3 linked regions of the Drosophila melanogaster genome follow. The protein of the gene in region 3 interacts with the protein of the main gene of each other region in a pairwise test. Each region holds a gene or a part of one and is shown on either strand. Other genes may lie near its edges.

Evidence for each region.
Region 1: the proteins of fmt (region 3) and Cerk interact in a two-hybrid assay, tested with the Drosophila melanogaster proteins (one large-scale study listed by BioGRID).
Region 2: the proteins of fmt (region 3) and Ptp61F interact in a two-hybrid assay, tested with the Drosophila melanogaster proteins (one large-scale study listed by BioGRID).

What each region holds. Positions count from the first base shown.
Region 1 is NT_033777.3:5,365,185-5,370,193, forward strand, and holds the start of Cerk (ceramide kinase), read right to left. Parts: upstream 3,123-5,009; 5' UTR 2,737-3,122; intron 1-2,736. Other genes in the region: CG31542 (uncharacterized protein), read left to right, coding at 4,408-4,411, 4,471-5,009.
Region 2 is NT_037436.4:1,344,515-1,352,152, forward strand, and holds the start of Ptp61F (protein tyrosine phosphatase 61F), read right to left. Parts: upstream 6,086-7,638; 5' UTR 5,963-6,085; coding exon 5,858-5,962; intron 5,029-5,857; exon of another isoform or gene 4,685-5,028; intron 1,937-4,684; coding exon 1,763-1,936; intron 1,692-1,762; coding exon 1,429-1,691; intron 1,351-1,428; coding exon 984-1,350; intron 648-983; coding exon 112-647; intron 16-111; coding exon 1-15. Other genes in the region: CG9166 (uncharacterized protein), read left to right, coding at 6,672-6,957, 7,015-7,275, 7,339-7,517. UniProt on the Drosophila melanogaster protein: Non-receptor protein tyrosine phosphatase. Required for maintaining dock/dreadlocks in its non-phosphorylated state. Negative regulator of InR/insulin-like receptor signaling through dephosphorylation of tyrosines when recruited by dock/dreadlocks.
Region 3 is NT_037436.4:6,168,961-6,175,539, reverse strand, and holds fmt (fiery mountain), read left to right. Parts: upstream 1-1,659; 5' UTR 1,660-1,780; intron 1,781-2,003; 5' UTR 2,004-2,103; coding exon 2,104-2,163; intron 2,164-2,229; coding exon 2,230-2,429; intron 2,430-2,483; coding exon 2,484-2,808; intron 2,809-2,869; coding exon 2,870-3,183; intron 3,184-3,245; coding exon 3,246-3,384; intron 3,385-3,439; coding exon 3,440-3,558; intron 3,559-3,618; coding exon 3,619-4,192; intron 4,193-4,247; coding exon 4,248-4,312; intron 4,313-4,370; coding exon 4,371-5,423; intron 5,424-5,597; coding exon 5,598-5,739; 3' UTR 5,740-5,971; downstream 5,972-6,579. Other genes in the region: CG7376 (uncharacterized protein), read right to left, coding at 1-1,042, 1,095-1,245.

The sequences.
Region 1 (5,009 bases), on a different chromosome or scaffold from region 3:
GACTCACGCCAACATCTAAGAAGCACATGACAGCAGTAATTATTTAACAAAGCGAAAAAGTCTAGTACATGTAGGTCGATGTGAAGAAGGAAAAGACAGACACATTGCGGAAATGTAAACTAGCGGGTAAATTGATAACCACACAAAAAGTTCGAATGACATGGAGGGGAAATGCTCTAGATATATGTACAGCTGTGTTAAGAAAAATAGCAGTGCTTTGGACTTGAGTGTTTAAGATAAAAAATTCTTATGATTTACAGTTTTAATGGGAAATTTTTTTTTATAATATCATTAGGTATTTAATTTCAAACAATTTAACAAATGTTTCGCTTTTATTTCTTTAATAGTTTCGAAAATATAGATTAAAACAACATAATAGGCAGAAATTCTGGTTTTCAATGAAATAGCAGTGCTATGAAAAAATAGTAACAAAATTCAACTTGACTTAGAACGAACTTAGTCTTTCTTTTTAATATGTTAATTCGGGCCTAATACTTGGCTGGATAGCCTTTGTTAGCCAGCACAGCCTTACACCCACGCGGCATGGAGTCCACCAGGTCCTGGCAACGTTTGGGAGGAATTTTTGCCCATGCATCCTGCACAACTTGCCAAATCTGAGCCTTAGACGTCGGGGACTTCTTCCACACATATTGTTTAATGTCCCCCTACAGGTTTTCAATCGGGCTTAAATCGGAAGATGGTGCTTACCACGGCATTGCATCTATTCCATTTTGGGTGAACCTATTCTTAGCCGATTTGCATCTGCGTTTCGGATCATTATCCTGTTGGAATGTCCATTTTAAGGGCATATTATATTCAGAATATGACAATAAGACATCACTAAGTATATTTACATATGCGTTTTGGTCTATAATACCATAAATCATATGTTATGGACTCATAACCATTGTAAAAAAACAAGCCCATACCAGGATTTTAGGTCCACCGTGATTGAAAGTCTTCAGTGGGTGTTTTGGGTGGTACTCCGTGTTTGGAGGTCGTTAGATATACTGTAGTGAACCACTTCCACCAAATAGCACTATTTTTGACCGATCAGTCTAAAGGATATTACGCCATTTGCAGACTGGCCAGTTTCGGTAGGTTTTAGCGAAGGTAAACCTTGCCTGAATAAGCCTTGGGCTAAGTGGGGGAACCTTTCGTGGACTCCTCGCACTGAAATTTTAACGTCACTGATTCCCAAGTTCAGCTCAGACTTTATGTCCCTAGAGGATGCAAAAGGATAGGCTTTGCTCTAACGAACTGTGCGTCGATCCTCTATCTCTGTGGTTTTACGTTTGGTACCACGGTTTTCGGGCTTCCATTCATATTTAATGGTATTGGATACCATTTTGGCAGCACATTCAAGAGTTTTTTGAATGTCCTTAATGCTTTTCCTTCCTTTCTAAGCTTAAGAATTAACATTCTTTTCTCCTGGGAGCAGTGCTGTCCTCCACCCACTAAAATATAATTTAAAATTTTTTTTTTAATTTTTTGCCCTTTTAAATATACGAATTAACTTAACCAAACTCACTTTTTAGAAAATAATGATCATTTCGGAACTTTACGTTGGTCAAAACCAGGCACTGCTATTCTTATGAACAGCCTAAAAATTGCGATTTTGCTCAAGAATGTAAATAAAAAAAGGATAACAAGAAAAACTAACCGGCTTTTCTTTTTTTTTCCTATCTACACATTCAATTTAACAAAAATAAGTGGAATAAAAAGTCGATTCCGAAAAAGGACATGGAAAAATACCTTTGTATTACTTAGTTTCCTTCGCACTGCTATTTTCTGAACACAGCTGTAGATATGTACGAAATACAAACAAATACGTCAATCTTAAACTCCAGAACTACTGACATTATTAGAATCGTCAACCCCTCCACCATTTATCTCGTTTCACCCTTTTGAGCGTTATTCAATCTTGACCCGCTTTATAGCTGCCAGACATCAGCCCATGTCTGACCTTTTCGACGGTGCACGCACCTCACAGCCAAAATAGCAAAAGCAAAGCTACAAAATATTATAAATAACTTGGGGCAAGTTCCCTTTGACACGTGAGGGGTCATTATTCAGTGCTATAGCGCAGATGGTCTGCTAAGATCAAAGGAAATAGGTACACGAATAGGTTTTCTGCCAATTCCCAGAATACATTGTTATGTTAAAATAAACTATTAGTATATGAGTAAAAATGAAAACAAAGTAGATACTTATTTTTTAGTTGCTATTTACTTGCAATCTATGCTTGGCAGGTCATTAAATTATTATTAATTAAGGTCCCTGAAATCCAATTTAACCCATAGAAGTAGACATTTCTTTCCCAAGGAATAAGTATCGCAGCATCGACATCGATACTTTGCACCACCAAAACAATAACAGTGCACATATACACCGAAGGGTCCCGGTTCGCTTGCTCTAGCCGCAGTGCGTCAGAAGGGTATAGCACCCTGGGAGGGGGGGGGGGGTGGGGTGGTGCAGACAGGGACAGCTGTCATTTCCATACTCCGGGTGCCGTTATCGCAACGCAATACAGCTGTGTAGCACCAACAACTCAGCTGTTGACAAGAACATGTGTGTATACAGGCGTAAGGGTGTGTGCGTGCGTGTGGGGGTATGTGCGTCTGGCTTGAGTTCTCTGCGTTTAATTCCAACTTGGGTGCTCGTGTACCTACTTATTCTCGATCCTAGTCCGTTCTTCCAATTGGAGTGCCAGTGTGAACTGGTTGGGGAACTCACCTGGTGGCCAGGTAGGAACGTTTATCCATACAAACACGGCTGCACTTTCGAAGTCGTTGCGCTGTTTTTCCGTCTGTTTATGGGGAAATCAAGAAAACTCGATACGGATGTGCATTGCAGTTTCGCACACTTGCACTTTTTCGCTTGCACACAAACAAATGCACACACACAATTGGAAAATAGCCGACGTGCAATTGGTGCTAATGGCGTTTCGGCATCTCCCGGTTTCCCGTTTTAGCCACACTTTCCACCCCCTACTCGCTGGAGCACAAAGAATTTACGAGAACACCAGAAATGCACTTCCGTGGCCGTTACAAAAAACACAGGCGGACAAATCGAAGCGAAGTGTACGTCCGCTCGCCAGTGTGACCGTACATATAACTGTGGAAAATACGAGGCAGACCACCTGACTTGATTGAAATACCACATAGTTTGGTCTGGGGTATTCTCAAGTCTGGCGAGAACTAGGGCTACCTTAAAATTAACGGCATCTTCACCCAAAAATAACTGTGCCCGATATTTTTTTTTAAGTTTTCTCACCATTAAATACTACACTACTAATACACTACTCCCCAGGATCAAATCACTCATCCCAGCATCCACATCATCCCAAAACTCTACTGCAGCCGCCAGATAACCAACAACATTAGCTGCGCAGCTTGCAGCAATTGCTCAACGGTCACCAATGACACCGTGTTGGGCGGGAGTCTCCAGCGGGTTACGGTTGGTCCTTGTGTCGATGTGGGGACTCCGGACTTCTTCCAGGTAAAGTAGTTCAGCTATGAGTTCAGTCGGGTTCAAAATTGGTTGGTGGCCAATATAGCCATTTTGTCAATTTGCAGAAGACACAACAACTGCTCAAGGTCATACTCCTAGACTCACGGATAAGATATTCATCCAGGAACCAAAAAAGGAAAAAATAAATTTAAAATGTTAAGAATTATTTTATAATCAATTTTTTTCACTTTTGTTTAAATCCGATTGGCGAAGTGATTGTTACGCGTACATACATTATACATAAATTATCAAGGAATTCTCCTGCATTTAATTTCGAAATTCCTCGGGATTTCCGCTGGAATCTATTTCAATAGGTTGCACTTTAGTAGAATATTACTTTCGTACATTTAATTTTAAAATAGTTTTAAGAGACATCTGATACTAGGTATCTGATAGCCTGGTCATCCTAATTTCGTGTTCGCTTTTGTTATTTTCGTTACTCGAAGAGTGTAAGGTAAATTGAATTATAAGAAAAGTAGGCAAAACTTAGGATAAGCAATAGTTCGGGCATTCGACCAAAGCGTTCTCATGATTTCAGCTTTCTCTTTTTATTATTTGGTAATAGGACATACGACTATACTTTTTTTTTTTTTTTTTTTTGTTAATTCCAAATAAAACTGCAGAAATTTAAACATTAATTGGGCTTAACTAAACCAGTGGAGTCCATAAGTTTATAAGTAATCTAATGGAGTGCTATTGATAATTATTTTCAAACTGTTAATTTATAGATATATTTGGTCATACAAACTTTTTAAAGCGTAAATGAATGCAAAGAACGCAGGGTATACAAAACCCGATTAGAGATCTCGATCCGGAATTGTCAGTTTTGATTTACCAGCTTGTAGGACAGCCTGTAGGGACAATTAATTACACCTAAGCCCTAACTTTCGGAAAATGTGTGAGTATCAAATGGACTGTAGACCGCCACCCGCAGCGCGCTAATCCTTCCGCCAGCAGCGTCTCCGTGTGGCAAGTGCAACAACTGTCCCTGCGGCACCAGCGGCGGAGCCCCACCCCCCCAGCAGCCGCCCCACAGGCCACCCCCCTCGTACGCCCACCAGCCGCAGCAGCAGCCGGACAGCTGTCCCTATCCGGGTCCGCGGGGCCAGGGAGCAGGCGGGTGCCAGGTCAACTCGACGCAGCCGCCGGGCGATCCCGCCGCATGCAGCCTCTACCAGAGCCGGGGAGCCCCCACCGTGGAGTGCACGTGCACTCAGAACCGTAGCCGGCCACCTCCGCCATCCGTTCAGGCGGACCACATCACGTGCAGCCGGGGTCCGCGGGAGCAGCCGCCTGCCCTGGAGACCCGCTGCACCTGTCGCGAGAAGCCCGCCAAGACGGAGTGCCACTGCGCCCCGCCGGTGGCCCCGCCTCCCAACCAACAGCAGCAGCAGGCGATGGCCCAGCCCACCTACGCCAACGTGACCTGTGGCCAGAACGTGCCCAGAGGACCGCAACCCTATCGCCCGCACCACGGCAACCAGAGTCAGAACCCG
Region 2 (7,638 bases), 4.8 Mb from region 3:
AGCTCGTTCTCGGGACTGAAAAGTACGAATTTGGAAGGGGATTAGAGGGATTTTTGTTTGACTAGGCGGTTGAAAAATAGATACTGAGCAGATCTAAGACTAGATTCTTACCTGGCTGGGAGCTGGCCTGGAATTGGATCGATGCCGTTCGCCTTGTGCTGCTCGTCGACTGGCACCGCTGGCTTCTCGTTGTTGGCATTAACATCGTCGGCATGTGGCTGTGTTGTCGCGGGCACGTGTCCATTAACTGGATCGGCATCGTGCTCGTTAATGGTCTCGTACTCCTCATCCTCATCGGTGTCGTCCTCGTCATCGTCATCCAGCAAGTAATCCTCATCGCTGTCCGAATCGTTGAAAGCCCTTACGGGTAATGGCGGCAAGGGACGACTGTCGGCCACCTCGGCATCGTGGATCATGTCGTGCTGATTAATGAAGTTGTTCAGGGCGTCCTTGCTCAGCTCTTTGCCGATACTTTCAGCTCCATTAGCCTGGGCCGCGCGCATATTGAGCGAAAGTATACCGCCGGAATTGGGGGCCAGTGGCAGATTAAGCGATTGGACGCGTGGGGGCAATGGCGGCGGCAGCTCATCCAGTGTGTGAGTCTCTGTGTCGTTGCTAATGAGGGGTTCTTCAGCGTCAAGAAAGGTCTGAAGAGAAATCAAATGTTCTAATTAGTCGCGGAAAATAATCAGGGCCTTCACAGAAATCTCTGCAAACCAAAAACAATGGTTTCTTTTTCGCATCAATTAAACAATAATCATTAAGCTGATACTAGATCACATAATAAAAAACAAAACTAAACATAATACAGTTTTCAAAAGTAATCATAATTCCATTAAACAATATGAATTCTAGTAACCATAACCAAGCCCAGAGATTTCTGTGACCCCCCAGAATAAATAGCGATGTGCAATATATACGGCGGTGCTTGGCAGCCCCCAAGTTTGACTCCCAAACGCCGACCGCTGGTCGCGCATACATACGGGATCGTGCAGCTTTTTAATGCCCTCGATGATCGCCTGGTAGGAGAAGTCCAGCTGGTCGGCGGTCTGTATGAGGCCCATGCGGTAGCTGCGCAGCTCGCAGAGCACCTTGGACACATTGCACTCTCCGTACTTGTCGATAAGTACCAGGCAACAGTCCACCAGGCAGAAGGTGCCCGACCGCCCGATTCCGGCACTGCAGTGCACTACGGCTGGACCCACGTCGCGGCTGAGGCAGCCGGAGTCGCGAACCTGCTGCAAGAACTTAAGGAATGCGTTCGGCGAGCTGGGAATGCCAAAGTCCGGCCATGTGGTGTAGTGGAACTGCATCACTTCACGACTCTGCTGCGTTTCGAGATCGGTTAATCTAGAGAAATAGTCAAAGGCAATTAGTCCACATGTACAAATGGTTTGAAGCAGAAGAAGAATAAAGAGTTCTACTCACTTGAACCATCGCCGCACAAAGTTCTGGTAGGTCTCGAGACGGACGAGCTCCACGGTGAGTTTGACGTGGGGCAGTTTCAGGGCCTTGTCGGCTCCCATCTCGTTGGGCCAGTAGAGGTGGCACTTGATCTGTTTCTTCTCCATCAGCTTGTTGAGCATGAGAACTGCTCTGGACTTCTGCTCCCATACCATCAGCCAGAAGTGGCCCACTGTGTCCACCAGCGGTCCTTGGGTCAGGATGTACTGGCGCTCGGCGCGCTCCAGCTAGAAAGGATTGATTGATCGCATTAGGCGTTTAATTAGGGGTGTGTGTATGCATTAAAAACGTGACCCACCTGAACCAGGTTCGCATTGATGTAGTCTACGCTGCCGCGCTTCAAAACAATGCGGGAATGATCGTACGGATTCACATCCCGATAGCGATTCAGGCCGCGGTTCGTGTGGCGTTCCGATTCCGAGGTGCTGAACTGCTTCTCCTTCGCCTCCCGGTCGCAGGTCTCACAAATTTCCTGGAATTCCGAAAAGAGCGATTAGTACAATCGAAACTACCCATAACAACAAAGGTTGAGGTGGTATTAAAATTCGGTCGCTTTACTGACAACTTATCAGTCAATTTGCAGGCGGTAATTCAGGGGATTTTGTGAGATTTGCGCTATTTACCTAAGCGTTCCAGACCCCAGAAGACAACTACTATAGTGTCTTACTGGAAGATCTCTTCTTTCTGGTACAAAATTCGTAAAAAATATAGTTTTCGTGTTACTCAATTATCTAAGACAGTAATAAGACCAAAAGTTCAAACTAATTAAACATTTATGCATGAAATGACCCAACGAATTCTTCGATACAAGAGCAAACAGCAAATAGCAGTGCACAATAGTATTGAATGGCATTGTTAAAACGAATATCAGAGCTTCCTTTTAGAACCATACAAACTGAGAAACTGTAAGGCGCAATTAAGCTTTTTACGATTTGTGTTCCGAGAAAATGAAAACGTTCAGACTCATAATGGTCTGATAATAACTAGTTTTAAAGTGATACATTTGTTTGACTGACTCGCAAACAAATTGTCAAGAAACGAATTGATAAGATCCTGTTAGAAGAATGCTAGAATGTTACAGAAATCGAATTTGTTTTTTTCCATGGGGGTTGCCCCCTTTGCAGTGATTCATCACTTGGCCCAGCGACAAGGGGCTCCTCCGGATTGGCAAACCCTGCGATTGAAGCGATAGTAGATACATGTAAGGGGCATCGGACTGGGAGGGAACCATGCGGCATATGAAAAGCCCACCCAGTCTACATAGCGGGCGTGACTAATTAGCCATGCGATGTTGGTGATGGCGATGGCAAAGCAAGCTGTCGGTAATGGCATTATCTTGGGCATGACCGGTGCGGCATTATCAGCAGTGTGAACGGGGAATTGCTGGCGCAGCTGAAAGTGGCCCCGCCAATTGAACCATCGAATCCGACTACCGAACCGTTAACAAGGTCAATGGCAACCACCTGGCGACGACAAGTGCTCCTTAAACTCGGCTCAAAGCTAATCACATGCATGCGGTGATGAGTAACCATTTAATATGGTTACCCATCAGCTCGCGTTGATTGCAGCTCGAAAATCAGTTGTTAATTGTCAGTTCGTCATGTTTCAACAATGAATCAGCTGCAAATTCTGCAGCTGACCTGTTATGAAATAACTTTAAAGAGTCATATTTTTACGTAATCTCCAAATCTGAGACGGGCTAATGACCGATAAGGAAGCTTTTCAAAGAGCAAAATCTCAATGGCTATCGCTACATTTGATAATTCGTAATTAGAAACGGAAAGAAATCCATGGTTGCACTTAATATTTCTCGAAACTCCTCAACTCAATAGCATTTCTACAATCACCTATTTAAGGTCTGATAATCGACGAGTCACGTGAGAATACGCGCAGATAATTGAGCTGCTTTATTTAAATGTTTGCCAATGATAAAGACTTTCAGTGTACTTATGATGTATAAAGTTGTATTCCTTGTACTATATCAAACTAGATATGATATATAAAATCAACAATCCATCCGGAACTTATGTAAATCCATAGCTTGGATTGGATTCATTCTGATGGAGAAAACAGTTCTTCGGCTCCGTTGAACATTAAGTCTTGGGCCGTTTACCAGCTACATACTGTTTTTTATGCTCGGTGGCTATCCAGGTGACCCTTCTAAACGGAGTGGCGAAATCCAAGCGAAGGCGCGGAAATCTCGGGGGCTTTGGTTTCCAAAGCGTGTCGTGCAAACCGTTTTATGGTTATTATGTTTCTGCTTTACCTTGCAACGCTCGAAGGAAATCGAGAAACAGTAACAAAAACATTGCATGCACGCAGAGCACAATTGCAACGATGGATAAAGACTTCTTGGCCAATACGAATTTGACATACCCTTTCACACACACTATGCGAGTTAACAAGTTTCATATTTCATAAAATCTGGCTTGACTGTTTCCAGAGAAACGAAAAAGAAGACGGTCACCTGTTGATACCAACGACTGGTAAGGACTATAACACCCTCTGGCAGGGTATAGCTGTGGAGGAGCTTCGTCACAGTCCACGGAGGTTGTCATAATGGGACGGAGTGGGTTGGGTGGGATGTTGATGGAACGGATGGATCGAGAAGGCGCTAGGTATGAGCTGATAGGCGGGGAGGGGCGGCGAGTTGAGAAGACCCAGTGTAACGCACTTCGTTCAATGGAAATGATTAAACATAAAGCAAAGCATAGCAAAACAATACGGTCCGAATGCGTCACTGCGTTTTTGGCTACAGTCCAAATCCCCTATGATGGGCTATCATATGGCAAATGTCAAATAAATTGGAAGTTTTAATGATAACCACAAAATTAGTTGTACCGTTTATGTTCACACATATTTGCGATTTATTAATTCTTAGAAGAATGTGTTTTGGAATTTCTATAATAAAGACAGATAAGTGCCTATAATGGATTATAATTTTCTTCAGAAATGTAGTAGCATGCACAGCTAAATGTTATTAAAGTAAAAATTGGGGTAGGTCGGTCTTATTCATAAAGTAATCATCGAAAAATGTGATGTTTTCACATTGATCATAGTTGTTTTTCATTGCAACAAAAATGAGTCAACGTTTACATGCTATGGAACATATAAAATTCAGCGAATTTAGATGAATTTCACGAAAGTAATATTATCAAGCTGAAAACTATTTATGATTTAATGAGAAAATATGATTAAAGAAAGTTTATTGAAATCTCACTTTGGCCTAACAAGATCGTCTTAGTCAAGTTGCACTGTATTTCAGTGGAAATGGCTGGTAGCTATTTTCCAGTCAGTTTCGACGCACAATTGCGGGCTGCCTTCCAGTTAGCTGGAAAATTAGATTATCCTCGACGCGAGCACAAAGGATGACGAACGAGGATGCCGAGGAGCGGGTCCAGAAACGAGATATTTCTACACACGACCATATACTGTGTCATCCTAACTGCGGAGTGGAATTCCGTGAAATCCCAATTCAAGTGAGTGGAAGCGCTGAAAGAGGCACAGAGGAACAGAGGAGGAGGAGTAGCAGCTGAAGACAGTTCGCCGGAACTGGCTATAAAGAACGAGTGGAGGTGGAGGAGGAGAGAAGAAGGGGCAAGGAGAGGATTCCGACTCCAATTCCGACAGGCAACCAGAAGCAGCCCAAAGCGAGACTCAAAAAACCAGACGCATGCCCTTTGTGCCCCTGTGTGCGTGAGCCTCTCTCTCCTGCTCAACGCGAGCGGGTGTGTGTGTGTGTGCGCGCGTTAGAGGAGTTCTTCAGTGGAGAGCACTGTCACCCCTCCACGAATTGTATTTTGTTTTTGGGGGACGGCAATCACAAACACAACGAGCTTCCCAGAAATCGCCTCCAATTTGATTTGGCCAAACGAGAATTCGCGGAATAGCTCAAGCGCTCTATTGATAGTCAAAGGAAAGCGTTTTTGGGGAAAGGTATGGCAGAATAACAAGCATAAATATGCCAAATACAGGCCAATACACACGCACGAACTCACACACACACGCGTTCGATGGAGAATGCAAAGTAAAGTGCAGCAGGTGTGCGTGTATGTGTGTTGGTGCTATTCTGTTTGTACATTCTTTTCCATGGGTTTTTGTTTTTGGCCAAAGCCTGGCTGTTAAAGCAACAACTGCAACAACAACAGCACTGACACACAATACACACGCACACACGTAAAGCTCGCCGCTGCACTGGTGTTGGTGGTGGAGGCATCTGCAGAAGCCTTTTGCGCACTCATCACATTTTCGTGGAAATCGGAGCGCCAAGGAGCTGTGGAAAGGTGTATACTCCGCATCCGTTGCGAATCCTTGGCGAATCGAACTGTGCCACAATCATTCGTCCAGTTTGTAACCAGTTTTCAGTGCAGTCGCAGTTGTTGTTGCCAATTACCTTGTAGAAGCGATGCCATTGCGGCCCCTTGTCCTTGTACTCCGCCTCGATTTGCAGACGGGCAGCGGCCGCCGACCCACTCCCACTCGTTTTCTGCTCGCTCATTGTGCACACTTTGCTGCGATTTGTTCCGATTTAATAACTTTTAATTTGGTTATCAGGCGGCTGGTTAATTTCAGAGGAGAACTAGAGCTGGACAACTCACGACAGTGTCGATGTATCGAATATTTGAGCTTGCGAAATACTATCGGTATTTGCAGTGCGATACCGAGTGATAGTTCGATTGTACATCACTATATTGATCGCATTACATATTATATTCTCTTATGGTGATTCCTATTTACAAATGCAAGCCAAACACAATATATTGTATCTGCGACATTATTATTCTGAAATATTAGTTACGTCTATCGATATTTTCACCATCAAATAATGTGACCAGGCGCTGTAGAGCAATAGAACACATACTGAAACTAAAGTGCTTGCGCAGAAATTAGAACTTTACTGAAACATAATATAACATTCGGGATAAGTTTTCTATAATTTATATAAAATTAAATACTTAACTAAAGACATAACAATATAAAAACAATTGAAATAAAATATTTTAAATAAAAATAAAATAAAAAAAATAAAATAAAATATTTTAAAAGTAAAATAGAAAAATTCTGATAAGAAAATTGGGTTCAAATACTTTAAAATACCGATATTACAATCGCTCATCGTTGACCAGTGTTATCGAGTAATACCAAAAGTATCGAATCAACAACTGTTACCCAATTTATTAATAACAACAGAAAGAAGCCAAAGCAAAATGCTGACCCGCGTGTTCCGCCTAGTGCACGACAGGCGCCTGAGTGTGCCTGTCCTGCGTTGCTTCCACCACGAGTTCTCCAAGCCGCCACAACAGGCAGCGAAGGGCCAGGAAATCGAAGGCAATCCCGAAAAGACTTTGGTTGCCGGCGTGCAAGACAAGTACAAAATATTCCGCGATGAGGAAGCCACGGAGATTTTTGATGTGGAAGAGGCACGCCACCAGGAGCAGCAACTTCCAGAGCCGGACCTGGAGCTGGATCACTATTACGGCCTCAATTTAAAGCGTAGGTTGGCAATCGTCCAGGGAGAGCAGAAATTTAAGCCTTTGTTTCCCTTTGCAGGAGGTGTTCGCGGAGTGTTCGACGTTGAGGACTTGGTGGAGCTGCTCCGCAAGGAGAATGTGGACGACATATTCGTCTGCTACGTGCCGGAGAACCTGAAGTACGTTGACCACCTGGTGGTTTGCAGTGGTCGCAGTTACCGACACATGCTGTCCACCGCGGAGTTCGTGCGCCGAATGTTCAAGATCAAGCGGGGCAAGGGTGACATATTGCCGCGCATCGAGGGCGATAAGAGCCGGGATTGGATGGCCATGGACTTGGGTGGGTATTGAAATAAATGCATATTCCGGTTTCTCCGCTCTAACACGTTCCGTTTCCTTTTAGGCAACATTGCCCTGCACATATTTTCACCGAGTGCTCGCGAGGAATACGATCTGGAGTCGCTGTGGGCCATTGGCTCCGAATTCGACCGCGAAAGCCAAAAACCCACCAATCCCTATGGCGATATTTTCATGGCTCAAACACCCCTTTCTTTCGTAGACAAATCGAAACTAAAGACGTAAAATAATACATTTCACTATTAATAAAAAAAAACTCTTTAGAGCTGCGTACGTGCGAGATCACTTGCAGTGTGATTTGGAAAAACAATAAGGTATGAATAAATATTTCGTGTCAGACTTGTTA
Region 3 (6,579 bases):
TATATTTCGTTACGCAGAATCGTATAGTCGGTAAGGACGACATCGTACTGGGCCAGATCGAAAGGACTAACCCAGAAGGTTGAGTGTAGGCCGAAATAAAGGAGCACCTTAAGCGATGGCGATATATGCTTGTGTATCTCTTCGAACCACTGCATCTTGATGGCGTTCGGAGATACAATGATGGTAGCGCCGCTCTCAACAAGCCTTTCGCCAGACTTTACCAATTCGGACCAGCAGCTGGGACACAGGTGGGGTAAGTCTGATTTTTCTGAAATAGTCATGCACATTTCGTGTTGCCACCGACGGCATTTGGTGCACTGCACTCGTTTACCGTGTTTCTTGGTGCAGATGCAGAAAACCTCGTCTTTTTTACTTATACGTGACCGCTTTAATGGCACTTCATCGGAAAACTCCTCGAGGCGTTGGTGCCAGTAATCGTTTCGGTAGGAGTCTTGTGGGCGCGGATTCATCAGCAGCATGGCCAGGAACTCCACGGTCTTGCCCAGGCCCATCTCGTCGGCCAGAATGCCACCCGGCGGCAACGAGATTTTGGGAATCTCCTCCTCGAAAGGATAAAATTGTAAGCAGTATTTATGCTTAAAGACGCGAGTTATACCATCAATGGCATGGAGCACTATGAAGTTGGCCGGCACTTGAGTTATCTGCTGCTCCCGCCCCAGCATCCAAGATACTGTGCGCTGCTGGTACTTGCGTAGCTGAGATTGAAATCTTTTCGGCAGGTCTAGCGAACGTTCCTGTTCAACATGAACGGTCTGGCGGTGCTTTTCGTAGAGGGCGTCGTACAACTTGGTGGTTACATATGTTTTTAAGGGACGCTTGTGCTCCTTCTCCTGCTGGGCCACCTCGAACTCGAGACTGCCTCTGAAGTCTTTAAAGAAAAGGGGCAGAACTTGTTCTCCCACTTCCATCTCGATCTCACGTGCTCGAACATGCGTCTGTTCATGGCTTAGCACCAGGATGCAGGAGCCCGACTCCTGCCGAATGGATCTGAACTTCAGCTTTCTCGTCCGAGCATTCTGGCCTGAAATATTTTCTTATTAATAAGTGCAATTATAGTACGTTAGCCTACACACATTTTTCAATACAAATCAAAATCTCCTCTTTATGCTCAACGAGATTATCTTTGAACACCCATCGCTTCTTTCCGTAGCGGAACTCCGTTGGATCCTCGGGACTTTCTGGAGGTACTTCATCAGCAATTTCGCACAAAACAACGCCATCCATTGTTATTTGCGAAATAACAATTCGGACAAACAAATGTGCGATGACCGCCAATTCGATATACGATAACAGAAAAATCTATATCGGACACCAAATGACACACCTCCACAGCTTAAATTTAACGATTGCAACAGGGGAATCTTTATGTTCTCTAGAAAGCAAAACATTTTCGGTAAGTTATCAAATAGCAACTCAGGCAAAAATGAAAAGAAAGAAAACCATTTAAAAAGAAAACCAATTAAAGAAATATATTTATAATAAAGAACTGTATTTAAATCATAAAACATAATTGTATGTAGTTTAGTTTCTACAATATGTGCAGCGGTTATCGTGTGAACAAGTTGAAAAATGACAATCGATAACCGATTGTGTGAGGACACGGTCGATCGGCCGCATATATCACACTGAGTTAATATACCCTGTAATCGAATATTGTCCACCTCTACGAAGCAGTGAAGAAAATTATAGCGTGGTTTTTTCGGTTGAAAACCAATCAAAAGTGCAACAAACAGTGAGCAAAACAAAGTCCAGCCAACTCGTAAGTGTGCGCCCAAGCATCCCGCAACCCTTGCAATCTCAAACGACCGGCATACAACCATTTTTCGACCCGCATTCGTAGTGTATATGTGGAGCCTGCTTGGCATAATTACAAAAATTTACGCATTACTTTGTGAGAGCCGAGTGTTGAGCTGAGTCTAGTCTGTGTTCAGTGTATTAATTGCGCTATTCCGCTTATCCAAATCTCCAATCCCGTCCCGCAGAGCCGTGCATGCCAAGTCATCAGCGTTCCGCGAGTCCAGCGAAGATTGATCTTGTTTCCCCCAGACTGAAAGTGTCACCGCCAAGACGTACGTGCGAAAAATGTTTTGGGACAAGGGTTATGCGCCCTCCGCGAATATAGAGGCGCTGCTCGAGAAGGAGGTAGGTTGACTCGATCCGTGCTGATCAAGTGGAAATGTCTCAGTTACGCGTCGTCGCCATTCGCAGAACTCCACACTGGAGGAATTTCTGGACGAGGAGGACATACTGCAGGAGTGCAAGACGCAAAAGAAGAACCTGGTCAACTACTTTACACGTCCCGAGGTCATACGGCGTCTGGTGGAGCTGATCACGACCGAGCCCTCTGAAGATGTGCCCATGTCGAAGCGTTTCCGCTATGCCAACATGTCCTGTGAGATACTCACACTGTAAGAATTGAATGCCCGTTGCCATCCAGAATTCTATAGCCCATGCCATTTTAGCGGCCTGCCGTCCCTGGATGAGAAGCTACTGAACGACGCGGAGACGCTGCAGCTGCTGTATTCATATCTGGAAAAGGAACCACCGTTAAATCCATTGCTATCGTCGTTTTTTAGCAAAACGTTTAGCATGCTCTTTACCAAAAAGCCTGAACAAGATTGGTTTTTGTATCAACACATGTGCCTACAACTCCTGGAGTATATTAAATCGCAGAAGACCTTTTTGGATTTCATTTGTAAACACTTTGACACACCGGTCATACCTGATCTAATAATGCAGATGATGAAGGACATCGAGGGTGGGCGACTTAAGCGGAACCTTTTCGAAGTAAGTCCATTAGAGAGTTTTGCCTAGGCATACGAATCTTATCGAATATTTCTTTTAACAGTGGCTAACTGAAGATAAAATTGTTGAGAGACTGATTGCAATATTGCGTAATCCTCAAGAAACCGACAAACATGCAAATGTTGCCGACTTTTTCTGTGATCTTATTAACCAAGGGCGTCTAATGCGCCAGACCGAGCAGGAGAACGATTCGTTTGAGCCGGCCTTCGATGGATCCAACCCCATTCTGAAGACGATCGAATTTGCGGACACAATTGAAGCCTTGTTAAATGTGATTTTGGAACCAAACGCTCAGGAGAGCGCCATCTTATCAGGAATATCGGTTGTACTTACGCTAATCAAGCCAATTACCTTCACGTAAGTTATGCTGCCAGTGAATTTGTCACCTTATTCTAATTGATTTACATTTTTTCCTGTAGAGATGAGCCCAACTCGGATCGCCAGCGGTTGTTGCAAAAGCGCGAACGCGAAATCCACCAGGAAGTCCAGGAGACTGTGATCACTGTGATGGCGCCACGCCTCCAGGAATTTGTCCACATACTGAAAAACCCGCCTGCGGTTAGCATGAAACTTTTTGTCACAAAGAACCAGCTGTTTATCTTTTGACTTGTAGAAACCCACACTAGAAACCACGGCCGCCGTGTTAACGCCCCCATTTGGAAAGACTCGACTGCAAGTTTGTCGCGTGTTCACCGCTCTGCTGGAGACCAAGCATGAGACTATTCAGCAGGCGTAAGTCACTGCTTTATAGAAAGGAGAACTTTTAATAAATAATAACTTTTTATACTTTAGAATCTGCGCGACTGAGTACTTCAGCCTGTTGCTGGACTTTTTCAAGCAGTACTGCTGGAACAACTTCCTGCACACAGAAATGGAGAAGGCACTGTACGTGGTCTTTTACAACGAGCTGTCCAACAACAACACTGCATCCACGGAGGTCACGGATTACTTCACTGCAGACTGCCTGATCAATGCCTTTTTGAAGGTGGGCACGGAGGAGTCCGAAGTCGAGATGAAGAACGCTCTTAACGATGCGAAGCGCGCGGAAGGTGGCAAGGATGAGGAAGGGGGCGACATCGAAATCGAAGTGGCAGCTGCGCAGGAAGTGGCTGCCCAGACGCCCGATGAGCGACAGACAGCCGCAGAAGAAAACCAAGAGCATGAAGAACATATGAGCCAAGTGGAAGCCGCAGCTGAAGCAACAGCTTCTGAGGACGCCGAACCCAAAGCCCAGGATAATGAAGTGAAAAATAGTGAGGTGGATGGTGAATCTCCAACAGATCAGCAAGAATCGGAGGCAACGCTCAATGATCTCGACAAGACCAAGACCGTTCCGAGCCCTCCGCCTTCTGAAATGCAATCACATGTAAGTCTTAGTTGACTTTTGTACCCAACTAAACTTAATTCTCGCTGATTTGCAGTTAATTGTAAACTGTCATCTGATATCCAAACTGGTCGACTTGTGGCAGCACAATGCGCAGGCGCAGTAAGTACTTCAATTGACTAATTATCAGTCTGGCACATAACAAATGTTCTTTTTTTAGATCTGCTGAGAAGGGTCGACGTTTGGGCTATATGGGCCACCTTATTAAAATTCTTCGTCACATTACGAATTGTATATCAGAATCTGAACATATCGGTGATCTGATCACCAGCAGCCTAAGTGATGAAGATGAGGTTAAGCTGTGGCAATCGTTGATCGATGCGGAAACTGGCGAGTTTTCGCTGGCGGTTAAACAGCAGACCAAGCTCCTGGCCGACTGCAATCCTCACGAGGAGAATCAGTACAATGATGGATCCAATGACTATACTGGCGAGATAAATGCGTGGAACGTTGGTAATCTGCCGTACAGAGAAGTGGATTGTAGTGAGCTGAATAACACGTTGCAAGACATCTTCTTTGCCATAGATCAGAATCGGTTCCAGTTTGGTCGAAACATTGACGACGAAGATGATGACGATGATGAGCATGGCGACCATTCAGGCGGTGGTGATGGCCACGGGCACGGCATGTTCACCAAAAATTCGAACACGCTGAACAACTTGGCTGACCCTTGGGACATCCAGTTTGCCGTGCTTTCCAGCGCGCCTACGCAGGTTAACACGGGCACTGCCAACTGGGGCACGGATTTCAATTCGGATAACTTTGCTGATTTCGATGCGCACTTTAGCACATTTGGCAGCGATCTTGGTATGCCCATAAGTGCGCCGCCAGGTGAAGAGGAAGAGGAGGACTCTTCCCCAGCGCCGGAATCCGCCACACAGGTGAACCCAGAAGAGGAGCGCCAACCCGCTGAATCTATTGGCCTCGCTGTGGGCAAGGGCGTTCAGGATAATCTAGCGTGTACCGACGATCAGCAGGCTGAGTACGACAATAATGCCAACGTGGAGAAGGCCATCAGCGATAAGCTGGCCGAGTCGAGCGTGGTGGAGACTGCAGCAATTGTTACTCGATTGCAATCCGTACTGCTGGACGGCGAGGATGATTATGAGGACGATGAGGGAATGTGGACCAAGCCACTGGGTGCGGATCGTCCTTCGGAGACCGAGCAAATTACTCCCATTTCAAATGGACCAGACAGCAAAGTGAATGAATTGTAAGTTAACCCTTTTGCACGTGGGTATGTAAATATGTATATATGAAATGTTTATACTTTTAATCTATTTAAAATGCCAAACAAGTTTACACCTATGCAATGTATTGGTTTGTAGCTCAATTTTTTGTTTTACCATTTATTACTTAAATACATTGCACTTGTAATTAAAACCAGGGGTTTACCTTTCAGCAATCATGCCAACGATATCAGCAGTAACAACGTGGATGGCCACGAAGCCAACATCACAACGGAGCAGCAGAAATTGGCCGCTGCCGCCAAGACGAACAATGTTGAAATTGCAACTACGACCACATAAATGCACTTCCTCACCACACCATACATCATTCAAGCGATATTGTGTCGACGAGAAATTGTAAAAACGCCTTTGATTTGCTCTTTGGTCATTATCATGCATACATATTTATATAAATATATACCACATACTACTACTATACGTACATATATAACAGGCTGCATAGTACAACAAAAGATTTGTGTATTAGCAAAAGGCCGAAACCCGCCCAAAACCAAAATGCAAATTATCAAACAAAAAAAAAAAAAAAAAAAAAAAAAAAAAAAAAAAATAGCATCAAAAAAATATCAAAAAGCTAAAAAAAAATATTCACAGTAAAAAGTGTATTGTTGATTCCTTCTGCTCCTCGCTCGTATTGCCAATTATTTTAATTATTACACTTTCTTCATGTTTCCTAATTAAGAAAACTGTATTTTGTTTGTAATATGTATTAGTCTGTCGATTTAGTACGCTTTTACTTTCAATACTCTCAATGTGTTAGGCAACCTATGAGCATTACTTAAAGTACCAAAATTCACGCAACGTTTAGAATGCTTAGTTTATATTTGTATTGTATTCGTTTTAGCTCGATCAGATGAGGATTATCTATCTATTCATATGATATATGTATGTATATACATATATATATATATATATATATATATATACACTTTTGGAGCTGTCAGTAAATTACGTTATCGCAAAGTCGTACGTTATCGTCCTCCTATTGTGGGGAATCCCCTCCAATTAGTGGTGACGTAATATATGGACAACTCCGCACTTATACTTGTATTGTTAAATTGGAGACTTGTATTTATTGTATGTATTTTGAAATCGAAAGCAAAAGCAATGCCAAAATACCAA